Arabidopsis thaliana: one gene and its partner. The protein of the gene in region 1 interacts with the protein of each later gene in a pairwise test. Each region holds a gene or a part of one and is shown on either strand. Other genes may lie near its edges.

The links.
Region 2: the proteins of AT5G63350 (region 1) and RTL1 interact in a two-hybrid assay, tested with the Arabidopsis thaliana proteins (one large-scale study listed by BioGRID).

The regions. Positions count from the first base shown.
Region 1 is NC_003076.8:25,375,832-25,386,720, reverse strand, and holds AT5G63350 (von willebrand factor A domain protein), read left to right. Parts: upstream 1-5,403; 5' UTR 5,404-5,596; coding exon 5,597-6,505; 3' UTR 6,506-6,790; downstream 6,791-10,889. Other genes in the region: AT5G63370 (Protein kinase superfamily protein), read left to right, coding at 1-1,767; AT5G63375 (uncharacterized protein), read right to left, coding at 2,234-2,418, 2,552-2,681; AT5G63340 (uncharacterized protein), read right to left, coding at 7,047-7,111, 7,167-7,357, 7,509-7,612, 7,669-7,827; NPX1 (nuclear protein X1), read left to right, coding at 7,938-9,122, 9,214-9,262, 9,342-9,500, 9,899-9,969, 10,136-10,208, 10,293-10,376, 10,466-10,590, 10,688-10,754 and 1 more.
Region 2 is NC_003070.9:30,307,710-30,318,946, reverse strand, and holds RTL1 (RNAse THREE-like protein 1), read right to left. Parts: upstream 4,426-11,237; 5' UTR 4,339-4,425; coding exon 4,234-4,338; intron 4,050-4,233; coding exon 3,842-4,049; intron 3,714-3,841; coding exon 3,590-3,713; coding exon of another isoform or gene 3,586-3,589; exon of another isoform or gene 3,507-3,585; coding exon 3,347-3,506; 3' UTR 2,945-3,346; downstream 1-2,944. Other genes in the region: HA9 (H[+]-ATPase 9), read left to right, coding at 1-590, 668-772, 866-1,175, 1,253-1,767, 1,845-2,018, 2,093-2,275, 2,357-2,538, 2,624-2,720; AT1G80640 (Protein kinase superfamily protein), read right to left, coding at 4,709-4,834, 4,945-5,034, 5,114-5,229, 5,320-5,401, 5,506-5,602, 5,705-5,768, 5,846-5,978, 6,074-6,315 and 2 more; AT1G80630 (RNI-like superfamily protein), read left to right, coding at 8,332-10,068; AT1G80625 (uncharacterized protein), read right to left, coding at 10,338-10,736, 10,890-11,090.

The DNA of each region.
Region 1 (10,889 bases):
GGTTCTCGTGATGTGTATGTTCGACAGAGTGGTAGAGATGACGAGAGGCGTCAAATCAAAAGGCCTAGTGACCATGATCTCAGGAGGAATGATGGGCGTCACCGATCACGGTTGGCATATGAGAAAGGGGAACTACGGGAGGAAGCAGAGGTTCAGAGACCCTCTGAGAAAAGGAGGAAGTTTTCACCCATCGTGTGGAATGCAGAAAAAGTGGGTAGAGCTCCATCTAGGGAGAAGACCAAGTCTCCTTTCCCTGTTCCGACTACAACTGTGATATCCAATCAGGCTGTTGCTGGTAAGACTACTTCAAACGATCAAGTGAATGCCTTGATGTCGCCAGAACCTAGTTATCTTGCTCCAGTGCAGCCTTCAGAAGCCCTGCTGGCTGTGAAACATCCTGTTGATGATTTGGAGGAGGGTCAGTTGGAGGAAGAACAGGTGATGCAGGAGGATGTAAAGGAGGGTCTGTTGGAGGAAGAACAAGTGATGCAGGAACCAAATATAAAGACATCTAGGTGGGGGACAGGTTTGACTTCCCCAAAGGAGGAGTTAATATCTGTTAACGTTTCCAAGACTAATAGATGGAACAGGAGCAGTTTGACACCGGAGTGCGAGGAAGTAATGGTGTCTGAAGAACAGCAGTGCTATTCGTCTGGATCTGGCAGTGGACATCTCAGCGTAGAGAAGCTTAGTGCAGATGGAAATTCTGGTCGTGAGTATTATAGTTCTGATCATGATGAGTTAGAACATGAAGATCAAGATTCTTTAACTCCGGGAGAGATGAACATGATGTTTGGGAGCAGGTCTGTGAATGAATTTCAGAAGCTAAACAAGATAAATGAAGGAACATATGGAATTGTTTACAAAGCAAGGGATGAGAAAACAAAAGAGATTGTTGCGCTCAAAAAGATCAAGATGAAGGAAGATAGGTTCGAAGAAGAGTATGGATTCCCTTTGACATCATTGAGGGAAATTAACATACTTTTGTCATGCAATCACCCTGCGATTGTGAACGTGAAGGAGGTTGTGGTTGGAGGGAAAAACGATAATGATGTTTATATGGTCATGGAACACTTAGAACACGACCTGAGGGGAGTAATGGATAGAAGGAAGGAACCTTTTAGCACTAGCGAAGTCAAGTGCTTGATGATGCAGCTGTTGGATGGTTTGAAATACCTCCACACAAATTGGATTATCCACAGGGATCTGAAGCCATCTAATCTTCTGATGAACAATTGTGGGGAGTTAAAAATATGTGATTTTGGGATGGCGCGCCAGTATGGGAGCCCTATCAAGCCTTACACCCAGATGGTTATTACCCAGTGGTACAGGCCACCTGAACTTCTTCTAGGAGCAAAAGAGTACTCTACAGCAGTTGATATGTGGTCAGTGGGTTGCATTATGGCTGAACTGTTGTCTCAAAAGCCTTTGTTCCCGGGTAAGAGTGAGCTTGACCAACTTCAGAAGATCTTTGCGGTCCTTGGAACACCAAACGAAGCAATATGGCCTGGGTTCTCATCATTTCCGAATGCTAAAGCCAAGTTTCCTACACAGCCTTACAATATGTTACGTAAGAAGTTTCCAGCTATTTCATTTGTAGGTGGTCAAATTCTTTCTGAACGTGGATTTGATTTGCTGAACAGTCTACTAACTTTGGACCCTGAGAAACGTCTAACAGTGGAAGATGCTCTCAACCATGGTTGGTTCCATGAAGTCCCGTTACCAAAATCCAAAGATTTCATGCCGACATATCCTCCAAAGCGGTAACTGAGAAAAAACGTGCTATCATTTGGACGAGAGGATGTCAACAAATACACAGGGAAGTCGACTGGTCGTATTTTGGTATTTTCCTTTTTACTCAAAAGACTTGCTTTCATCTATTCTTAACTCAGTTGCGTTGCTTTGTTGCCTGGAGATTCAGGGCATTCTAGTGTACCATTTATTCGGATTCATGTGTAAATATGAGTGGTCCGTAAAACTGAAAGGTGTGTTTCTCTCTTTTCGTTAGGACCCTAATGTTATTGCTATCAAGAGTTGTACACACTATTGACTCACATGCTTTAATGGAAGAGATCTCAGTATTCACTTTCTCTCTCTAGTAATTGGGTTGGGATGGTTATTGTTTATGTCCTCATATTTCTTCTGTGCATTGTTTTTATTCACGAGGTAAACGCAAAGAGTTTATCACAAACGTGAGAATGGAAGTTGACATCAGTAAGTTTATTTTGATTACTTATTTACCACGCTCTGTTATCAATGTTGGTTTGTTGTTCGACGTCCCTTTGTCTTTGAGGTGCTCGTATTTGGTCTGTTGGCAGTGAGAAAAAGATGATTCATGATGAGTTTCTGTGGACATAGGAGGTATGGCAGTGGTTTTTTTCATGTTAATCCGAGAATTAAGGGATTTGGGATAAAAAGCTATATAGAAAGAAGCTAAAATAAGTTTGTCTTCAACACTATAACCCTTTGTCCTCCTTTCTTTTTAACTTCTGTAAACAGCTAAGCTAAATCAAGTTCATTTCAATAACGAATAAACTAGAATCAGCATTACCTTTGACGAGGCCATAAACAGAAAGGATATTACACAACACACAACAGTGATCAATATGAGGAAAAGCTTCTTTTGCGAGATGATCTGCATCGTTTCGGTCCTTAGTCTTTTGCTCCCAGCTCCTTACCATATGTCATTGTGCAGCTTCAGCTGTCTATTACCATTTAACAATCGGTAATGTTTCAACAATCACTTTTGTAAATTCCCTTTCCCATATTCCAAACTCCTGTAGAATCAAATCTCATATTGTAGTTGGAATTTTTCAAAACGAGGTTTCTAAATTAGTTTTCTCTATATCAGATAACCAACAATGATATTTTGTTCGAACCTTTGGTCGATTAAAGAGAACAGATAATGATTGCCACATCATCTGATTTCTCTAATGATACAGAATTTCATAAACAAATATATAGAAACGAAATACTGATTTATCAAGTTTAAAATTAACTAAAGAATGCCCTAGTCATGGGTCCTCCTTTCCAAAACTGTACAAGTGTCCCAGACAAAACGACCAGTTTAAAAGCCCTTATCGAGACATCACACATTACCTTTTTTAAACTTTACCGACTCTGACACCATCAGATCCACACGTGGCGAGAATTCATTTGGCCACTTTCCCCAATTAGGGTTCTTGGGCGTGGTTTTGATGGTGATTCAGTCTACCTTTTTCTCTCTGTCATCGAACCTCTCTATATTTAGTATTTCCTTATCTTCTTCAGCTGTCAGATTATAATTGGGTGAACATGTTCGATTTTATTGTTTAGTGTTGATAGGATTTAGTACTTGTCTTATATTTATAAAATAAATAGCCAAGGTTTGTCGATGGTGAGCATTTAAATTCGGGGTTCTTTTTTTTGTTGTTTGAATTAGTAACTAACGATGTTTTATCATTGGTTCCTTCATATCCAACGAAATGACAAAATATCACCTTTTTCTCAAATTTTGTAACTATTGATTCTTAAAAAAACATGGTACATCTGTTAAGTGTCTGTAATTTTTGATGTGTTTATGTATAGTTTTAATTTTTTTACATCAATGCATAAAGCGAAATGTTTTTGGTCATGTATATACAGTATGTGTTTTTCTTACAACAAATATATTACTGATGATATACGATTATATATATACGTATATAATATATGATTAAGAAATGATATGTTATATAGTCCGTAACGGATAAGATTGCTTTGTCCCATATGCATATTATATCATTAATGATATTTTTCATTTTTCGTTATTCATCCGTTATATTTTTCATTTTTCATTTGTCCCATATGCATATTATATCAGTAGTATGTTTCGATGGTGGTTTTATGTTGAAACTGTTGGCTATCGTATTATATAATTAATTAGGTATAGAATCAGCAGGTGAGGGTGAGAGCAAAGGTAGTCAATTTTATTCATTTGTTTAATATATACGTAGTAATCAATGTCTTTAAGCCAAATATAATTTGATCTGATCCAACCCAAAAAGATTGTATTTGTGCATCCTTCTTCTTTTAGTAACTATGACATGTTTTTGATAATTGCATTTACTATCTGTAGGGACGTCAAGTAGAACCACTAAAATCATCTATACTTTAATGATCAAGATTACATTGTTGAATTAAAACTTTAGCTACATCAACTCTATACGGTATATCGTGTTTTCCTTGCAACAAAATATGTAATAACGAAAAATGGAAGATGAGATATCGAATGTTAAAGAATCAAACCTAACTCTCAAGTCTCAACATCAGTCATCAGTTTCGTCCACATTCATGAATGTATAAATATATATGGACTAATTATTAAGCCTTGGTTAATTAAATAATGAGATTGTTTGTGTAAATTATAGTTGTAAGTTGATAAGCTAATTACATATCTCTACGTGTCCTCTTGCGTGCAACGTACAACGCAACACAAACCCATCAGATTTTTCTTGATGCCATCTCGAACTGCCTTCCGAATCTACTTTATTTCTATGTTACTATATTGGATTTTTAATAAGATTTTGACTCTCATGTCCATATATACTTTTTCCGAATCAATTGTATGATTATATTTAAGATGGCTCCATGATACCGTCACTCCCTCATGATTTTTATTTATACGCCATCCAATGTTCCTTCTTTCCCTTTCATAAAAGAGGTGGCCTAACTTCATTGGCACAAAATTCCTCTTTGGACATGAGATCATCGACCTTGTCCCGTTAATAAAGATTTGAGATCTAGAGTCACGATCACCTTTAGTTGATTAAGATTATATTCCACTAAATTAAATTCAGAATCGGTCAATGATAATGTATGAACCCTCATCTCTTGGACCATGCCTAACATTACCTTTTTTTTTTCATTTCGATGTACTATATTTTAACCTAATTTTGGCATTTATTCATGATTATCTGTTTTTAGGCCAAACAAATTAGTATACTATTCAGGTACTAAAGTAGTAAACACAAGGGTCAAAGTGATTATTAGCTAACCACGGGACCTACTAATTAATTATATACTATTAGACCAGATTAGGTTCTCAATTCCGTTCCTTATGTATACGTCTAATTATAAAAATCTCGAATGCTAACATCATATTTTTTTCATCCGCGCTTTGATTGAACAACCGAATATAAGAATCAAATATATACCTTCATGTCAAATATTAATTAGACCAATATACTGAGAACTTCGAATTTTCCAATAACAAAACACCGACCATTTTTAAAACATTAAATTACAATAAGTACTGCTTAATTTGTGATAAAAAAAAAATAGTACAAGTTTAATTATATTTCTATGTCATGCCATTTTTGAATAGTTTTTTTTGTCGTTTTAGAAAATAGTTTTAAACATAAATTCGATTCATTTTTCATGTCCATTACAGAAGGAAAAAGAGCATGTGCAAGTGCAACGGTGATAAGCGTATTCTAGACAAAGACACGCGTATCAACCCAACACTTGTCATCTTCAGAGTCCCTATATAAACCCCTTCACACACACCTCTCTTCATTATTCTTCAAAGCTCCCACTAAAACCTATTAAGAGAGAAAGATATATACAGAGAGAGATCATGGACGGTAGGGGAGGTTGTTGCATAGCCAGATATGGTGGTTACGGTGGTCGCTACGGTCTCTCCAAAGCAGATCGAATCATGCTTCGTTTTCGTCCCATTGCTCCTAAACCGGCCAGCGACGGTGGAAGTGTCTCTCTCACCGGGAAGAGCGGCTCCACCACAACTACAAGTGGTGGAAGCTCCGATCTCTCAGGTAAATCTGGGAGAGGAAAGAGAAAGTATCAAAAAGATTGTTCCGGTGGGAACTCCCGAAGGTGCAATAAGAAGAAGAGAGATCTAAGTGGAGACACTGCTACTACCACGGCGGTTACATTGTCTCTTTTACCAGAGACGCCTGAGAAACGAGTTTTTCCAGATCTGAATGCTTTTCCGGTGGAGAAGCAGAAGCGAAACGGTCCTTTATGGCTGAGTTTCAACGGCGGTGGTGAGATTTTAACGCCGTACAAAACGGCGGAGATATCACGAAGGACGGTGGTGGTTTCGTCGTGTGTGACGGTTGAGCGTGTGACTGACGCTTGGATCGACGGTTATGGATTAGGGGAGACAAATCAGGAGAGGAAGATGAATCTAGTGGAAGACACGTGTCCTGGTTTTATATCGGACGGTGTAGGGAGAGTCACGTGGACCAATGAGGCGTATAAGAAGATGGCTAGAGAAGATATTAATATTCCGATGGAGGAAGGTGTACCGGAGGATATTAGTTACGATAATTTTCACGTGAACGTACGGTTAGTGATGAAGGAGAGGCCGATGCTAACGTACCCAGCTTTCACATGCAGAGTGAGATTACAGTACACGTGTCAAGATCGAGAAAGAGGATCCGTCACGGTGCCTTGTGACGTGTGGAGAATGGACGGCGGTGGTTTTGCGTGGAGGCTTGACGTTAAGGCAGCTTTGTGTCTGTGACGTTCTTTCATTCGCCACCGTTGGATTTACAATGGTGAAAATGATGAATGGTCCCGATCGTATCGTATCACACATGGCCCTTCGTAGAACTAAAAATATAGCAAGTGATAAACTTTGGTTATTTAATTTTCACCTTGAACATATGTTTCTGTGTTTTATTTTTTAGTTTGCTTTCTTCTTTAGTTAGTATTTTGTTTATAAAATGCTGTTTTCTCTAAATTGCTAATCTCAAATTTATGTTTTTTTTTGTTTTGCTTAAAAATTTCAAGAAAGTTGTATATATGTATGCCTTTTACAATCATTAAAGTTTTTCTTTTTCACATTGTTCGTTTTCATGTCATTTAAGCTTGAAGATGAAATTGTCAACATTCGTTTGCAAAGGTGTTAACATAATAAACAGTCTTCCCAAGCCCATACAAGAGCATTACGTAGAAAAATAAATAGTTTACTAATGGGTAGCCTCATGATATTCACTAATGGGCCTGAAAATCAAAAGATTCATAGGCACGTGTAATTCAATCGCGCTATTTACAGGGCGCGTTTAGTGGATAAAATAGTCAAAATAGTGGAGACAATGTCGGTCGGTATCCGCGTCTATTACACGCGCTATAGTAACACGTGTAATCTATTAATTCTTGCGATTTGGAGTATTAATACTCACGCGCTCCAAGATCTTTTCTCAAAACAATTAGAGATCCAGATTCACTAGATTGCACCGTAGCCTTCACAGCCGTTAGATCTAAATATCGACGGTACATATCGAAAGGATAATTGTAGCCGTCTAGATTTGGTTGGCTGGAATTTAACGGCTTAGATTCGATTAAAGGCGGCGGGCTGCTCATCTCTTCGGATCTATAAGTAGAGAAGCAAATTGTTCGTTATTCTTCGTAAGTCTCTCTCTCTCCTCTCACCTCTTTCGTTTTTTCGAATTTTTTTTTAGTTTTCCATTCGAAAAGATATCCAGAAGCTCTCGATCTAGGGTTTTCCAAATCGATTTTGGTACCTTTTTTTTGACTCAGTCGAGGGTTTTTCTAGGGTTTCGATTAGCTTTTTTGCCAATTGCCGTTGAGGAAGATACTTCTTCGGTGAATTTGATTTGATTTTGACCTGAGGGAGAAGCAAGAAGCTTAGACCAATTGGGATTCTCAGTTTGGTAAGTCAACGTGCAATTCATAGGAATTCATCATCGGATTGATTTGGTAATCGCATTCTTGTGATATTTTTTCGGGGAATTGTGTTTTGGCTCGATAACGATGAATGGTGTCTATAGATTCATTGTTGAAGATATCTGCAAGATTTTTGGAGCAAAGGCATAAAAGCATTACTTGCTTGATTTTTTTTTTTAGTTTGTTTTATATTCTAATTTGATGGTGTGAAGACGATTAACTCTGAAAAGCGAATGAACTGTTGGGTTTCTGGTTTATAGCAAACGATGGGTAAAGCGCGGAAACACTCTAGAGGGAGACCATCAGGCTTTGTTCCTGATTACATGCAAGCTGTTGAGCCTGATGAATTTGTTTACTCAGAGAGGATGAATTCTGAGGCGTCTCCTCCACTGAAAAGGAGACGTTTTGGTTTGAATGGAGATAACAATGGCGTTTCTAAAGAGGTTTTGTCTCTGTCAAAGATGTCGAGGTCTGAGAGAAAGAATTTAGTTCACAAGTTGAAGATGGAGCTTCAACAGGTCAGGGACCTTAGTAAGAAGATTGCATCTTTCAGTTCAGACACTGTTCTGTTGTCGCCATACAATGATCATAGCTGCAGTGATGGGCCTAGGAGGCCGCCACCAGAAAACTTTGCTACATTTGTTGGGTCACAGGGCAAAAAGCGCCCTCCTGTGCGCAGTGATAAGCAGCGGAATAAGAAAGGTCCATCTCGATTAAATGTCCCAACAAGTTATACTGTTGCTTCAGTGATGAAGGAGTGTGAGACGTTACTCAATCGTTTATGGTCACATAAGTCGGGGTGGCCATTTCGTACTCCAGTTGATCCAGTGATGTTGAATATTCCAGACTATTTTAATGTGATTAAACATCCAATGGATCTTGGAACGATACGAAGCAGGCTGTGTAAAGGTGAATACTCTAGTCCTTTGGACTTTGCAGCAGATGTGCGTCTTACATTTTCAAATTCTATAGCTTACAATCCACCAGGAAATCAGTTCCATACTATGGCTCAGGGTATCAGTAAATATTTTGAATCGGGATGGAAAAGTATAGAGAAAAAAATACCTATGTCTAAACCACCAGTTATTCCCCTAACCAGTTCTGCTTCTCTGGAGTCTGAAATCCCTTTCGAAGTAGCACCGATGAGAAAGAAGGAAGCTGCAATGAACGATAACAAGCTGAGGGTGGAACCTGCTAAGTTGGTCATGACAGATGGTGAGAAGAAAAAATTAGGCCAAGATCTGATGGCATTAGAAGAAGATTTCCCTCAAAAGATTGCTGATCTCCTGAGAGAGCAAAGTGGCAGTGATGGTCAATCTGGAGAAGGTGAGATTGAGATAGATATAGAAGCGCTTTCTGATGAAATCTTGTTCATGGTTCGGAAACTCCTGGATGACTATTTAAGGGAGAAAAAGAAATCCATGGAAAAGAGCGAACCTTGTGAGATGGAGGTAAAGAACCTCTCTGATTATTTTTAGTAATCGTTTGTGTGCACTTGGAAATGTTGACATTTGACTTTTGGTTTTAACTTTTCTTTTACAGATTGTTCATGACTCTGGATTCAGTAATTCCCCTTTGCAGCCTAGTAAAGGTATGTTTTTGCTATTTAATTTGATGTCGAAAATGATTTCCTTCAGTAATCTGAGTATCTGATGTACTCATAATCACAGGTGATCTGCAAATTGACGAGGATGTTGACATAGTTGGTGGGAATGACCCCTCGGTCTCAAGCCATCCTCCTCTTAAGATAGAAAAAGATGCTGCATGTAGAAATAATGAAAGCAGCAGTTCGAGTAGCTCTAGTAGTGAATCAGGCTCTTCATCTAGTGGTTCGTGTTTATGCGAGCCTTCTTCTATTTCCTTAGAATAATCATTTTGTTTCTCTTAAATAGTGCATTGATTTGTACAGTTTGTAAGAATAGTTAAGATTGGAAATAAAGTAACTTTTCTATTGAAATGATTAGTATTGGACTCCTGAGTCTTGTTTTGTAATTTGAGCCTACGTCGTGTCCCATATTATCTTTTCGATGCTTTTTCTCTGCTCTAGTAAGTGTGGTTATTCCCTTGCTATAGAGGATATTATAGTTAGTTTCTGTGGTTATCGTTTATGACGAATGAATTAAGTTCTTACATTGTGGTTTGGCAAACTGTAGAATTGATTCCTTTGCTTTATTTTTACTCATAGGAAGTGCTTTTTATACTGATGTGTTCTGTGATTATCTTTCAGATTCTGATTCTTGTAGTTCCTCTGGGAGTGAAACAGATTCTATTAAAGCTTCAAAACCCACAAGTAGAGAGGTATATCTAACAGTGGAATAACTTATGTTATGGAGTCTCTGTGTTTGGATGTTGCTCTAATTTCTGCAAGATTTTTCATTTACTCACCAATATTTCCATGGACTATTTGCAATCATAAAAGTGAAATTACTACAGAAAAATAAGTATAGTCTCCTCTTTAATTTAGGAAAAAAAGCAACCAGGAGTTGGTATAGACAAAAAAGAGGATGATAGCAACAGTGAGAAGATAGTTGTAAATGGTTAGTCTCTTTATAATTGATGTATGCAAGTTGGAGTGCTCGGATATAGAAGTCTTCCCGACACTCATTCTTTGTTCTCTGTAGATTCTTTGAATGAATTGGATCAACTTGAGCATACTGTTGGGGAAAAGTCAACCACCATGGATGCAGTAGTTCTCGTTCCAGATGGTAAGAAATGAAAGTTAAGGAAGGTTGGAGATGGTAATAGATGTTTATTTTCAGATCATGAGTTTACCTGTCATGCTTTGGTATTATAGAGGAGACTGCTCCACCTGAGAGGCAAATTTCCCCAGATTCCCCAGATAAGCGTTACCGCGCGGCTTTCTTGAAGAATCGTTTTGCTGATACCATTATGAAAGCTCGAGAGAAGGCTTTTACCAAGGTTGAATTTTTAAGTGTCCGATCTACTGTGTTGACGAAAAAGCTCGCCTGAACTTGTGGATTGTTTTAATCAAAAAATTTAATGCATCAAATTTCAGGGTGAAAAAGGGGATCCTGAAAAATTGAGGATAGAAAGAGAGGAGTTTGAAAAACGGCTACGGGAAGGTTGGATTGTAGTGCATTCGAGTGTGCTTATGTACCCATAATTCCTAACTAAATACTTTTATTTTTAATTCTTGCGATTTCCGTTTGATTAGAAAAAGAACGGTTACAAGCCGAGGCCAAAGCAGCTGAGGAGGC
Region 2 (11,237 bases), on another chromosome or scaffold:
AAGAAGGCCATTTCCAGAAAGTTTTGACTGCTATTGGTAACTTCTGCATCTGTTCCATCGCTATAGGTATGCTCATCGAGATCGTTGTGATGTATCCTATTCAGAAACGAGCGTATAGAGACGGAATCGACAACCTTCTGGTGCTTCTCATTGGAGGAATCCCGATTGCTATGCCCACTGTTTTGTCTGTCACCATGGCCATCGGATCTCACCGTCTCTCCCAACAAGGAGCTATCACAAAGAGAATGACAGCAATTGAAGAAATGGCTGGAATGGATGTTTTGTGCAGTGACAAGACTGGAACTCTTACACTCAACAAGCTTACTGTTGACAAGAGCATGGTTGAGGTTTTTGTCAAAGACTTGGACAAGGATCAGCTTCTTGTGAATGCAGCAAGAGCCTCTAGAGTTGAAAACCAAGATGCTATTGATGCTTGCATTGTAGGAATGCTTGGAGATCCCAGAGAAGCAAGAGAAGGCATCACTGAAGTTCATTTCTTTCCTTTTAACCCTGTGGATAAGCGCACTGCTATCACTTACATCGATGCTAATGGAAACTGGCACCGTGTCAGCAAAGGCGCGCCAGAGCAAGTAATACAAAATTCATTTCCTTCTTCTCTCAAGAGTTTTCAAATTCTTTCCCACTGATTATTCTCTGTAATTCTTAGATCATTGAGCTCTGTAACCTTCGGGAGGATGCAAGCAAGAGAGCTCATGACATCATTGACAAGTTTGCTGACAGAGGACTTCGTTCTCTTGCTGTTGGCAGACAGGTATAATATTTAGTGCCAGTCCCAAAACTTTGGGATTCATTTGTGTTTCTTTCTCTTTTATCAATGCTCTTTTTCCTATTTTTTGAATTTCAGACTGTCTCTGAGAAAGACAAGAACAGCCCTGGAGAACCATGGCAGTTTCTTGGTCTGTTACCTCTCTTTGACCCTCCAAGACATGACAGTGCAGAGACAATCAGGCGTGCCCTTGATCTTGGTGTTAATGTCAAGATGATCACTGGTGACCAACTTGCCATTGGTAAGGAAACTGGTCGTAGGCTTGGGATGGGCACAAACATGTATCCATCTTCTGCTCTACTTGGACAAGATAAGGATGAATCTATAGCTAGCCTTCCTGTTGATGAACTCATAGAGAAGGCAGATGGTTTCGCCGGCGTCTTCCCTGGTAAAAACAATCAAATCTTCTACCTTCACAAGTGGTTCAACTCCATAAATTTAACTCTGTTTCATCTGTCTGATTAGAACACAAGTATGAGATTGTGAAGAGGCTTCAAGAGATGAAGCATATTTGTGGCATGACTGGTGATGGAGTGAACGATGCCCCAGCTCTCAAGAGAGCTGACATTGGAATAGCTGTTGCTGATGCGACTGATGCAGCAAGAAGTGCATCTGACATTGTACTAACCGAGCCAGGGCTTAGTGTCATAGTTAGTGCTGTCCTAACGAGCAGAGCCATCTTCCAGAGAATGAAGAACTACACAATCTATGCAGTTTCAATCACAATCCGTATAGTGATGGGATTTATGCTTCTTGCACTCATATGGAAGTTTGACTTCTCACCATTCATGGTCTTGATCGTTGCTATCCTGAATGATGGTACTATCATGACGATATCAAAGGACAGAGTAAAGCCTTCTCCACTTCCTGATTCATGGAAACTCAAAGAGATATTTGCCACCGGCGTTGTTCTTGGCACTTACCTAGCAGTCATGACTGTAGTTTTCTTCTGGGCTGCAGAGAGCACTGACTTCTTCTCTGTAAGAGAGTTCTATCTTACTTTTATGACCAGCTCGAGTAAGTGTATGTGTTGATCTTCAGTTTTCTCTTGGTGCAGGCAAAGTTTGGGGTGAGATCTATCAGTGGAAATCCGCATGAGCTAACAGCAGCTGTTTACCTACAAGTTAGTATCGTGAGCCAAGCGCTTATCTTTGTAACAAGGTCGCGAAGCTGGTCATATGTTGAACGTCCTGGCTTCTGGTTGATCTCTGCCTTTTTCATGGCTCAGCTGGTAAGTTAAAGATTCAGTACTCTTACATAAGAAGCTTCAGTATATACTGACACTGTTGTTGTTTTCATTCCAAGATTGCTACTTTGATTGCGGTATACGCAAACTGGAATTTTGCAAGAATCAGAGGTATTGGGTGGGGATGGGCAGGAGTTATCTGGCTCTATAGTATAGTCTTCTACATCCCATTGGATATCCTCAAGTTCATCATCAGATATTCACTGAGTGGAAGAGCATGGGATAATGTCATTGAGAACAAGGTTTGCTTCTCAGGCCAATACTGATGAGAACAAGAACACAGTAGTATAATCCTTTTTCCTAACCTTTGTTCCTCTGTTCAGACCGCTTTCACGTCAAAGAAAGACTACGGAAAGGGAGAGAGAGAAGCACAATGGGCACAAGCGCAACGTACACTTCACGGATTGCAGCCAGCTCAAACCTCAGATATGTTCAATGACAAGAGCACTTACAGAGAGCTTTCAGAGATAGCTGATCAAGCCAAGAGACGAGCTGAAGTTGCAAGGCAACGCTCAAGTAACTGATTATTCCATACCATTAGGTTCCTCAGAAAATGGGCTTACAAACATTTCTTGTCTTGTAAATTTCAGGTTAAGGGAACGTCACACCTTGAAAGGTCACGTGGAATCAGTAGTGAAGCAGAAGGGACTAGACATTGAGGCTATCCAGCAACACTATACCCTGTGATTTCAGAAACAAGTGTTTCTCAGTTTAGTTTTAGAACCCCACAAGAGTATTGAATAAATAACCACTTCCATAATTAGAGAATGCTGCAAAAAGAAAATTGTTTCTTTTGTTAGCAGTGGATGTGGCTTCTTCTTTTTTTATATTTTTGAGATATTCTTGTTTTTTCCTTTTTTACAAGAGTAATAAGATCTTACAATTACTTAGAATTCTTGAGTAAGTTTCTTCTAGTCTCTGTCCGCGCAAGAGAGAATGCAACAAAACCAAAAAAAAAAAGAATGCTCAAATCTTAGTTGCAAATGAGAAAAATCAGTGTTTCAAATCTCACTGAACTGAATTCCCTCCTTCAGTCTAACCAGACAAAGTCTCCAAAGCTTTCTCTAACTTGGATGACTTGAGCTCTTCTATTCCATAAACATAAAGATAAAGATAAAGGCTCCTTACTAAGGAGAAATATAATGGCACAAAGTTTGAAAGAAAAGTTCTGATACAGATCAAAACTGTTACAACCCATAGAGCTATAATGAATTAAAAGATAGGTATAATATGGTTCAAGCTTCCCTCGTTAGAACTAACTATAGATGGCTTTACTAAACTCTCCAGCTACTTCATATCGACTAAATGATGATTTACTGATGCGGCTTTGTCTTCACATGCTCAAGATACCAAAGCGCTCCTTCTGCTGCATGCTCAGCAGCAGCTTTCTTTTTGCGTCTGGGATCCCCAAAACACTCCAAAACAGTTTTCCCTGAAGAATCTCTAATCTCAACCATAACTTTGTATGTAAATCTGAACCAAAAAACCAAGTTGATGCAAAAAAGATTGCGACTCAAAAAATAAAAGCAAGTGCAGGTTAGAAGATGTTTACTTACAATCTCAAATGGCAAGGTCCATCAACATTGCAGCATTCATAAACAGGAGGTCTCCAACGCTTGGAAGCACACATTTCGTGTAACACCGATTTAGCTGAGCCTCTCCTAGTCTTAGATTCATCATCTGGAACACAAATTTCAGAACAAAATGACCAAAATTCTATCTTCTATACCAAAAATTGCAATCTCTGTTGGTTTCCGAACAAGTTTACATCATAATTAGCAAAAGAGGTGAAGAAAAAATGAATGAACCTTTAGATATGGGTTTGGTGGTGGTGGTGTGTTCTTCATCTGGTTTAGGAGCAAGCTTCTTCTCTAGTGAAATGCTTCTTGTGCTGTTAGGATCAATTTGAATGTTAGAGAAGGAAGAAATGGCATTGTCTTCTTCTTCAAACTTGAAGTCAGTCTTCTCTTGGAATCTCTGCATTCCCACATTATGATGATCTTGCGCCATTGGTTTCTAACAATTGACAGAAGCAAAGTTGAGATATTTATTACTATTAACCCATGATATAGCCAAATCACAGAAGAAGAATCATCTACAAATAGAAAACGCAGAGATTGTTCTCTGTTTCAAACCCAGATGATCAATTTTTTTGTTAGCGAGAAAGAAGAGAATATGGTTGGAGTGAATGAATATTTACCATAGAGGGAATAGAAGAAGGGTCGAGAGGAGGAATATCTTTGAGACTGATGATGATCGATCTTGACGGTTTTTTGGTTATCCGCTTCGTTTCCTGATCCTCCATCTTTCATATTACTACTCCTTGTCTAATTCCCAGATATCTTTCTTTGGGAATCGAGAAATTGAAAATTTTATCGATCATCGACAAAACGGATAAGGTTCATTAATTAATTCATTTCCCCACAACAACAAACTCTGTTATAAAAAGTCAACGTTTTTATTTATTTATATGTTAAAGCTTTTAAACCTTTAACTTTTACTAACCAAACTCTACTAACTTGTCTCTCGGTTCCATTTAAGCAAAACTTCCGAATTTTTTGTAGCAGTGATTAAACATACAACAATAAATTCTCCGGAAGAACCAACATAAGAGACAAATTCATAAACGCATTGATCTGTTACAAGAAAAAAAAAAAGAAAGGGGAAATGTTTTTTTATAAAATCCGCAATGATCCACCGAGTTCTACTGGTAGAAGAGGGATGAGTGAGTGCAAGACATCGGTTATAAGTGGTCTGTAACTTGGCTCCGGCTGTACACACAACACCGCCACCGCAGCTACCTGTCCAAAGAAAATATAACACAAAGTTCAAAGAGGAATCTTTTTCCTTCTATATTTGGCTAATGTGTTTTTCGTAAAATCTGTGTGAGATTTTGTTGAAGCTTTTTTACCTGATATAGATGCTTCAAATCCATGGTTCCTTTGATTGCAGGATCCAATATGTTTGGTAGATTAGCTCTATCACTCAGCTTAGGTACTGCCTGATGATCAACAAAGATCACAAGTCAGAGGATTTCCTGCTAAACGAAGCCACTATCTCGTGAAAGTTTTATTATGTACCCAAGTAACGATGGATTCTGGTTCAGAAGACGGTTTCTCCACTGATTTCTTCCCGAGGAGAAGTTCGAGCAGGATCACTCCAAATGAGTAGACATCATTCTTGTCTGTAACTTTCCCTGAAAGATGATTACAGAATGGTCGAAATTTGAGCATCTCGTTTGGCATATATGTCAAGATCGAACCCCGAAAAAAGATTAACTCCTTACCATCAAGAAGATCCTCAGAAGCCTTGTGTATCAGGTTTTTATTCTGCGTGGTCAAAACCGTGGCAAACCCAAAATCGGATATCTAAAGAGAAGCAAATGTGGCAACAGATCCTTAAGACTCATATTGTATGGAGAATACAATAAGTCTAAGAAGAATTTTCTACATTATATCATTTTCTCTTTTACCTTTGCATTGAAATCGGAGTCCAGAAGGATGCTAGATGATTTCAAATCTCTGTGAACTACAGGAGGATGGCAATGCTCGTGAAGATACTCTAATCCTCTTTATGAAAAAAGAATACTTTGTAAGCATACAAATATATGTTCTTGGAGATCACATGGAACTACTAAATGTTTGAAAGTATTATCAATGAATGGACTTTACCTCGCTATATCAACCGCTATCTTCATCCTGAGCTGCCAAGTTAAACCTGAACCTTGACTAGGCCCTTAGAGCATTCAAAAGCACAACAAAATCAAAATCAGATGACAAAAGATGGAACAAACATGGATCATATCCCCTTACCATGTAACTGACTCTCCAAAGATCCATTCTGCATCAACTCATACACAATACAACTCGTTTGCCGATATACGCAAAACCCCAATAAGGAAACTATGTTCTGATGCCTGATCTTAGCCAACCAATCTACTTCAGTCTGCATTAGAAAATCAACAAGAGAAAGCAAAAAACCGAGTTATGGTTTATCGAATGAGATGGTGCGATTCTGTATAATCATCTTAGGGGTCAAACCTCAAACTGTTTTTCAATGTCTGTCTCCCCACCGCCATCAAGTTTCTTCACAGTGACTGAGGATTTTTCATCGAGACAAGCTCTGTAAAGGCATCCACGACCACCTCGGCTCAACACATTACTATCACTAAACTTGTTTGTTGCAGATTCCAGCAATTGATATTCATACACAGGGATGGTTCCTTTCCTCACAGAATCAATCTTGTGTACAGTCGGTTTCGTGGTTACACTCTTCACCGAATCTTCAGATAACCAAAGCACCAAAATAAGCCATAACAAAACCAAGGAAATTACAAAAATATAAAGAGATAGAATTGAATACCGGATTTGCGTTTGATACCGGTGAAGCTGTTCTTCATATTCCTGTACCTCCATAGCAAGAGATACACAAGGAACATGACTGTGACACAGAGCAGAGATGATGAGACTATAAGAGCAATTAGAATCTTCTTGTTCAAGTCCTGGCGAAGCACCACTTTAACAATGGGAGGTCCTGAGCAAAGTTAAATTTAAATAAGGGATAAAATTCAATTTATTTGCTTAATTATCGGAAAGTTTTCAGTTTTAATTGGGAAACAGTATCAATTCAACTAAATTCAATTCCTTTATGAAAGTATGAGCAAACACATTTCGACAATTTCAAGAACTAGTAAGACCCAATCACCAAATATTGATATTTTTGTTCTTAGGGGCAACATGGAGAAAATTTGGAAAGGGGAAACTAATAAGTACCTGGGGATTGAGCTCCCATTCGTGGAGAAGCCTGAGAAATGGGGATTTCGGGGGAAGCACCAGAAACGTAGACAACGGAAGATTCTTGTGATTTAGTAGCAGTGGAGAAGAAGAAGAAACCAAGAAGAACCCAAATGGGTAGCAAATGACGAAGGAGACACATATTTAATTTTGTTGTCTGGTATCAACAAATATGCAGAGAAAAGACAAAAAGAGAGAGAGAGAGAGATAAAGAGTACGAAGCTGCTTCGTGTTCTATCTAATTCTTTTATGGAGATGGTGAAAAATGCTAGAGATTATCTTTGTCTGGAGGAGATGTAGACAAGAGACACTGTTGGAGTTGGGAAACAGAGAGAGAGAAGGACAAAGGTTTTAGGTGTTTGGTCTTCATGTGGCAGTTATGAAAAGGTGGACAAAAAGGCTAATAAAGCAGCAAAGAGTGCCTAATCCCAGACGTGGTGATAAGACGTGGAGTTGTGGAGAGAGTGAGGAGGAGGATGTGTAGTTAGCAAAACAGTTTCTTCCCATTAGCCAATCTTTAAAATTTTGATTTTCTCTCTACCATTACAACAATTTAACATCCCAATGTTAGAGATGATGCTGATACTACTAGTTGACAAATAGAATTAAACCTTTTATACGTAAAGCTAACAGATTTTTATCTATTAATTAAAGCCTTGTTCCTTTTTCTTTAACGTATAGTTATACTATATCTTTATTAAATTAGAAAAATCAAGAATACAAAGAAAGTACATAAAGCAATCAAAGTACAATCCAATTACATAAATGGTGTTTTTAATGTTCCTTCATATTCATAAGTTTAGTCTTTTAATTTCCAAGAAAAAAAAAATACATCTTGTCGTAAAAGAAATTATTATTTTTAATCAGATTAATAAAATGGTGTGATATATGGAAAGAATATGGATTGAGAATGGATTGTGTAATCTCTCGATAGAGTTGTTTGCATCGAGGCACAGTAATCCAAATGATTCGATTGGGTCACTCCCCAAATTCAATTCATGCGGATTTAGTGAACAAAACGACAAGTCATGGTTTAATAGAGTGCATCCAAGAATTTTATTCTTTTTATTTTAAAAAAATACAGACGACAAAGGTCCAAAAGTTTGAGCATTATTCATGTGAACTCTCTATGTCTGTCCTCTTCAAACTTTAATTACCGACACAAGTGGTCACTGACTAGTCACAACTGTACAGTTGAATAACAACTAGACTTATTGAGGGCCTTACAAGAATAATGAGCCTTTTATATCTTATTGGGTCAATACAAGCCCAGTTTTGAAATTTTGAAATGAATCAGTCGTTAGGCCCAATATCTGTTGGAAAAACAAATATAGTTATTGGGCCATTAAGGAATAAAAAGCCACAACAAGCCCAGTTTCGAAATTTTAAAATTGGATAAGGTTAAAAGCCAGCTGCCAGCGAAATTGAAGGATGATATATAGTTAGTTACATACTGTGTTTGTTGTTAGTTTGATTTGAGCTAATCTTCATCAAATCCATCATCCATGGATTTACCTGAAGAATGTTGGGAATTAATCTGCAAAGCTATCGATGAAGACGATTATCGATTCCTGGAATCTGTTTCACTCGTATCAACCTTGTTCCTCTCAATCACCAATCGCGTTCGCTCTACTTTCGTCGTCACCGATCGAGCTGTTCCTTTACTCAATCGTCATCTCCTTCGATTCCGCAACTTGAAGCGAATCAGGTTCTCTGATTTCACTCAGGATCTCAATTCGATTCTTCTCCAGGTTTCTCGTTCCGGTTTGGATTTCGAATCGGTAGATGTCTCGCAAACGCGCTATTTCCCAGATTTTGAGATGAAGAATGTCAAGGAATTGAAATGTTATGGAGTTGGAGGTTTTAGTGATAGCGATCTGGTTTCCATCGGAGTGAATTTTCCGTTGCTAGAGAAGCTGGACATTAGCTATCCTAATTCAAGTCCGAGTCGAGTCTCTGATTCTGGTGTTATCGAGCTTTCCTCGAATCTCAAAGGTTTGTTGAAGATTAACATTTCTGGTAATAGTTTCATCACAGATAAATCTTTGATTGCTCTCTCGCAGAATTGTCTTCTCTTGAGAGAGATAATCTTCCGTGACTGTGATTTCATTTCGTCGGATTGCATCAAATTCGTTCTTCGCAATTCCCGTAACTTGGAGTCTCTTGCGATCAACGGAATCGGATTGAGACCGAGGGAGTCTTTGTTAACCGATGCGTTCTTGTTTGCTCGTTGTTTGACTGAGCTTGATCTTTCGGATTCGTTTTTGTCTGATGACTTGCTCTGTTTGATTGCTAGTGCTAAGTTACCTCTAAAGAAGCTTCTTCTCTCCGATTGCCACGGTTTTACTTTTGATGGGATCTTGTATCTGCTGGACAAGTACCAATCACTAGTTCACTTGAACCTCAAAGGAGCAAATTTCCTCTCTGATGAGATGGTTATGAAATTAGGGATGTTCTTTCGGCGTTTAACCTTTTTGAATCTGAGTTTCTGTTCCAAGTTAACTGGTCTAGCATTCTTTAGTATTATTGAAAGATGTGTTTCCCTGAGGTGCATGATAATGGTAGGGACGAACTTTGGAGTGGAAGAATATACCAAGGATACGAAGGATTTCAAGTCAGGGGTCAAGTTTTTGTACTTATCTAGAAACCACAATTTGCTCGATGAGTGTCTCGAAAAGATATCACGGCATTGCCCTTTTATAGAAAGTCTTGACGTAGCTCAGTGTCCTGGCATCACGAGAGATGGGATTCTTGAAGTTTGGAGGAATTGTGGCAAGCTAAGATCTTTGGACATCAGCAGATGTACGGGCATAAAGAGTCTTGGTGTAGTAGACTTTGAGCTTCCAAAGTTGGAGTCTTTGCGAGCATGTGGAACTTGGATCGACGATGAAGCCTTAGATATGATCAGCAAAAAGTGTCGAGGGTTGTTGCATCTTGATCTGCAAGGATGCTTGAATGTGAGTTCAAGAGGGGTGAAGGAAGTTGTGCAGAGCTGCATACGTTTAAGAGAGATTAACCTCAAGTATTGTGAAGCTGATAAGAAAATGTACACTTGGATGGTTTTTGCAAATCCATCTCTTAGGAAAATCGTACCGCCATGTGGGTTTTCTCCAACTAAAGCACTCAAGAACTTCTTTCTGCGTCATGGATGTGTAGTCTCCCAGGATTCTTCTGAGTTGCTTTCTATAGCATACCGTGCCAATGGAAGAGATGATGACACATTGACTAGACTGATTATTTGAGCCATTTGTGAAGAAAAAAGGTATCAGCATAATAGTTTGAATGGAGAAACAGGGGTTAACCTTTCTTTGAGTTTATATTTGTCACTCTCGTTGTAATAAAATTGTCAAGCCAAAGGCAAGCTTGCGTTGATTTTTTTTTCAAATGTTCAGCCATCTTCTTATTCAATGATAGAAGTAACCAGCACTACTACATTGCAAATCAAAGCAAAGAGTAGTAACAAAAAGTGAAGACAAAAAACATGAAAACAAGTCACCAAGGCAAATAGCAATCACTCCCTCTTCATTTTTTGGGTCTTATACCTCAAGTAGCGAATCATATCCTCAGGATCAGAGACTGTTAAAAAGGCTTGGCGGTGAGCTACATCAGCCATCAGATGGTCCATGGAAGCACGGTATAAAGGCAACCACTTCTTCACTCTAGGTAGACCATTTAAAACATCCATTGCATGCGTCACACTGCATATGTAATCAGGATGATTCTTTAGTGCATTTTGTAGAGAGCTACCAAAAGCAGTAAAAGTTTTCCTTGCTATACTTGCAGCTCTGCTTTTCTTTTCGTCCAATGGTGGTTTCTTCTCTACTAGTTGTTTCTTCTTGGGTCTTCCAGGTCTCCTCCTTTTTTCTTCCTTTGGCTGCTCTGTTATTAAAACCTCGCTTTGTATTTCATCCTAGAACTATGCACAAAGTATCAGACTTTTCCAGTTTTACCACATTTCTTAATGGTAACAAAACATGCCAACATAGTCTATGGAAGATCTCGTTTTAGACTAATCGCTTTGACAAAGTAGAATGCTTGACGAGTTAAGAAGGAGTAAACTTACAGGTTTCTCTCTCCGATATCGATTAATAGCAAACCGGTCAAAAACATTGCCTGAATCCCTCGCCCGGTCGACGAGAGGTTTCTTAGTAAAGAAGTTCGACGGTAATTGAGAGGGTAGGCTTGATGAGGATGTTGAGAAAATACGGATCAGAAATGGGTTCAAGTCGAACCTTTGTTTTGGTCTGAGTAGATGAAACGCCATGAGTGACTGTTCTTACTTCTTAGGAGAGGAAGTCGAAGAAGATGTAATAAATAAACTCTCAAGTGTCGTTTCAAATTCAATTGCTTTATCCCGGTTATATGTTTACCGGGTTGAAGTAACGGTTCACTCTCTCTACTCTAATAAACC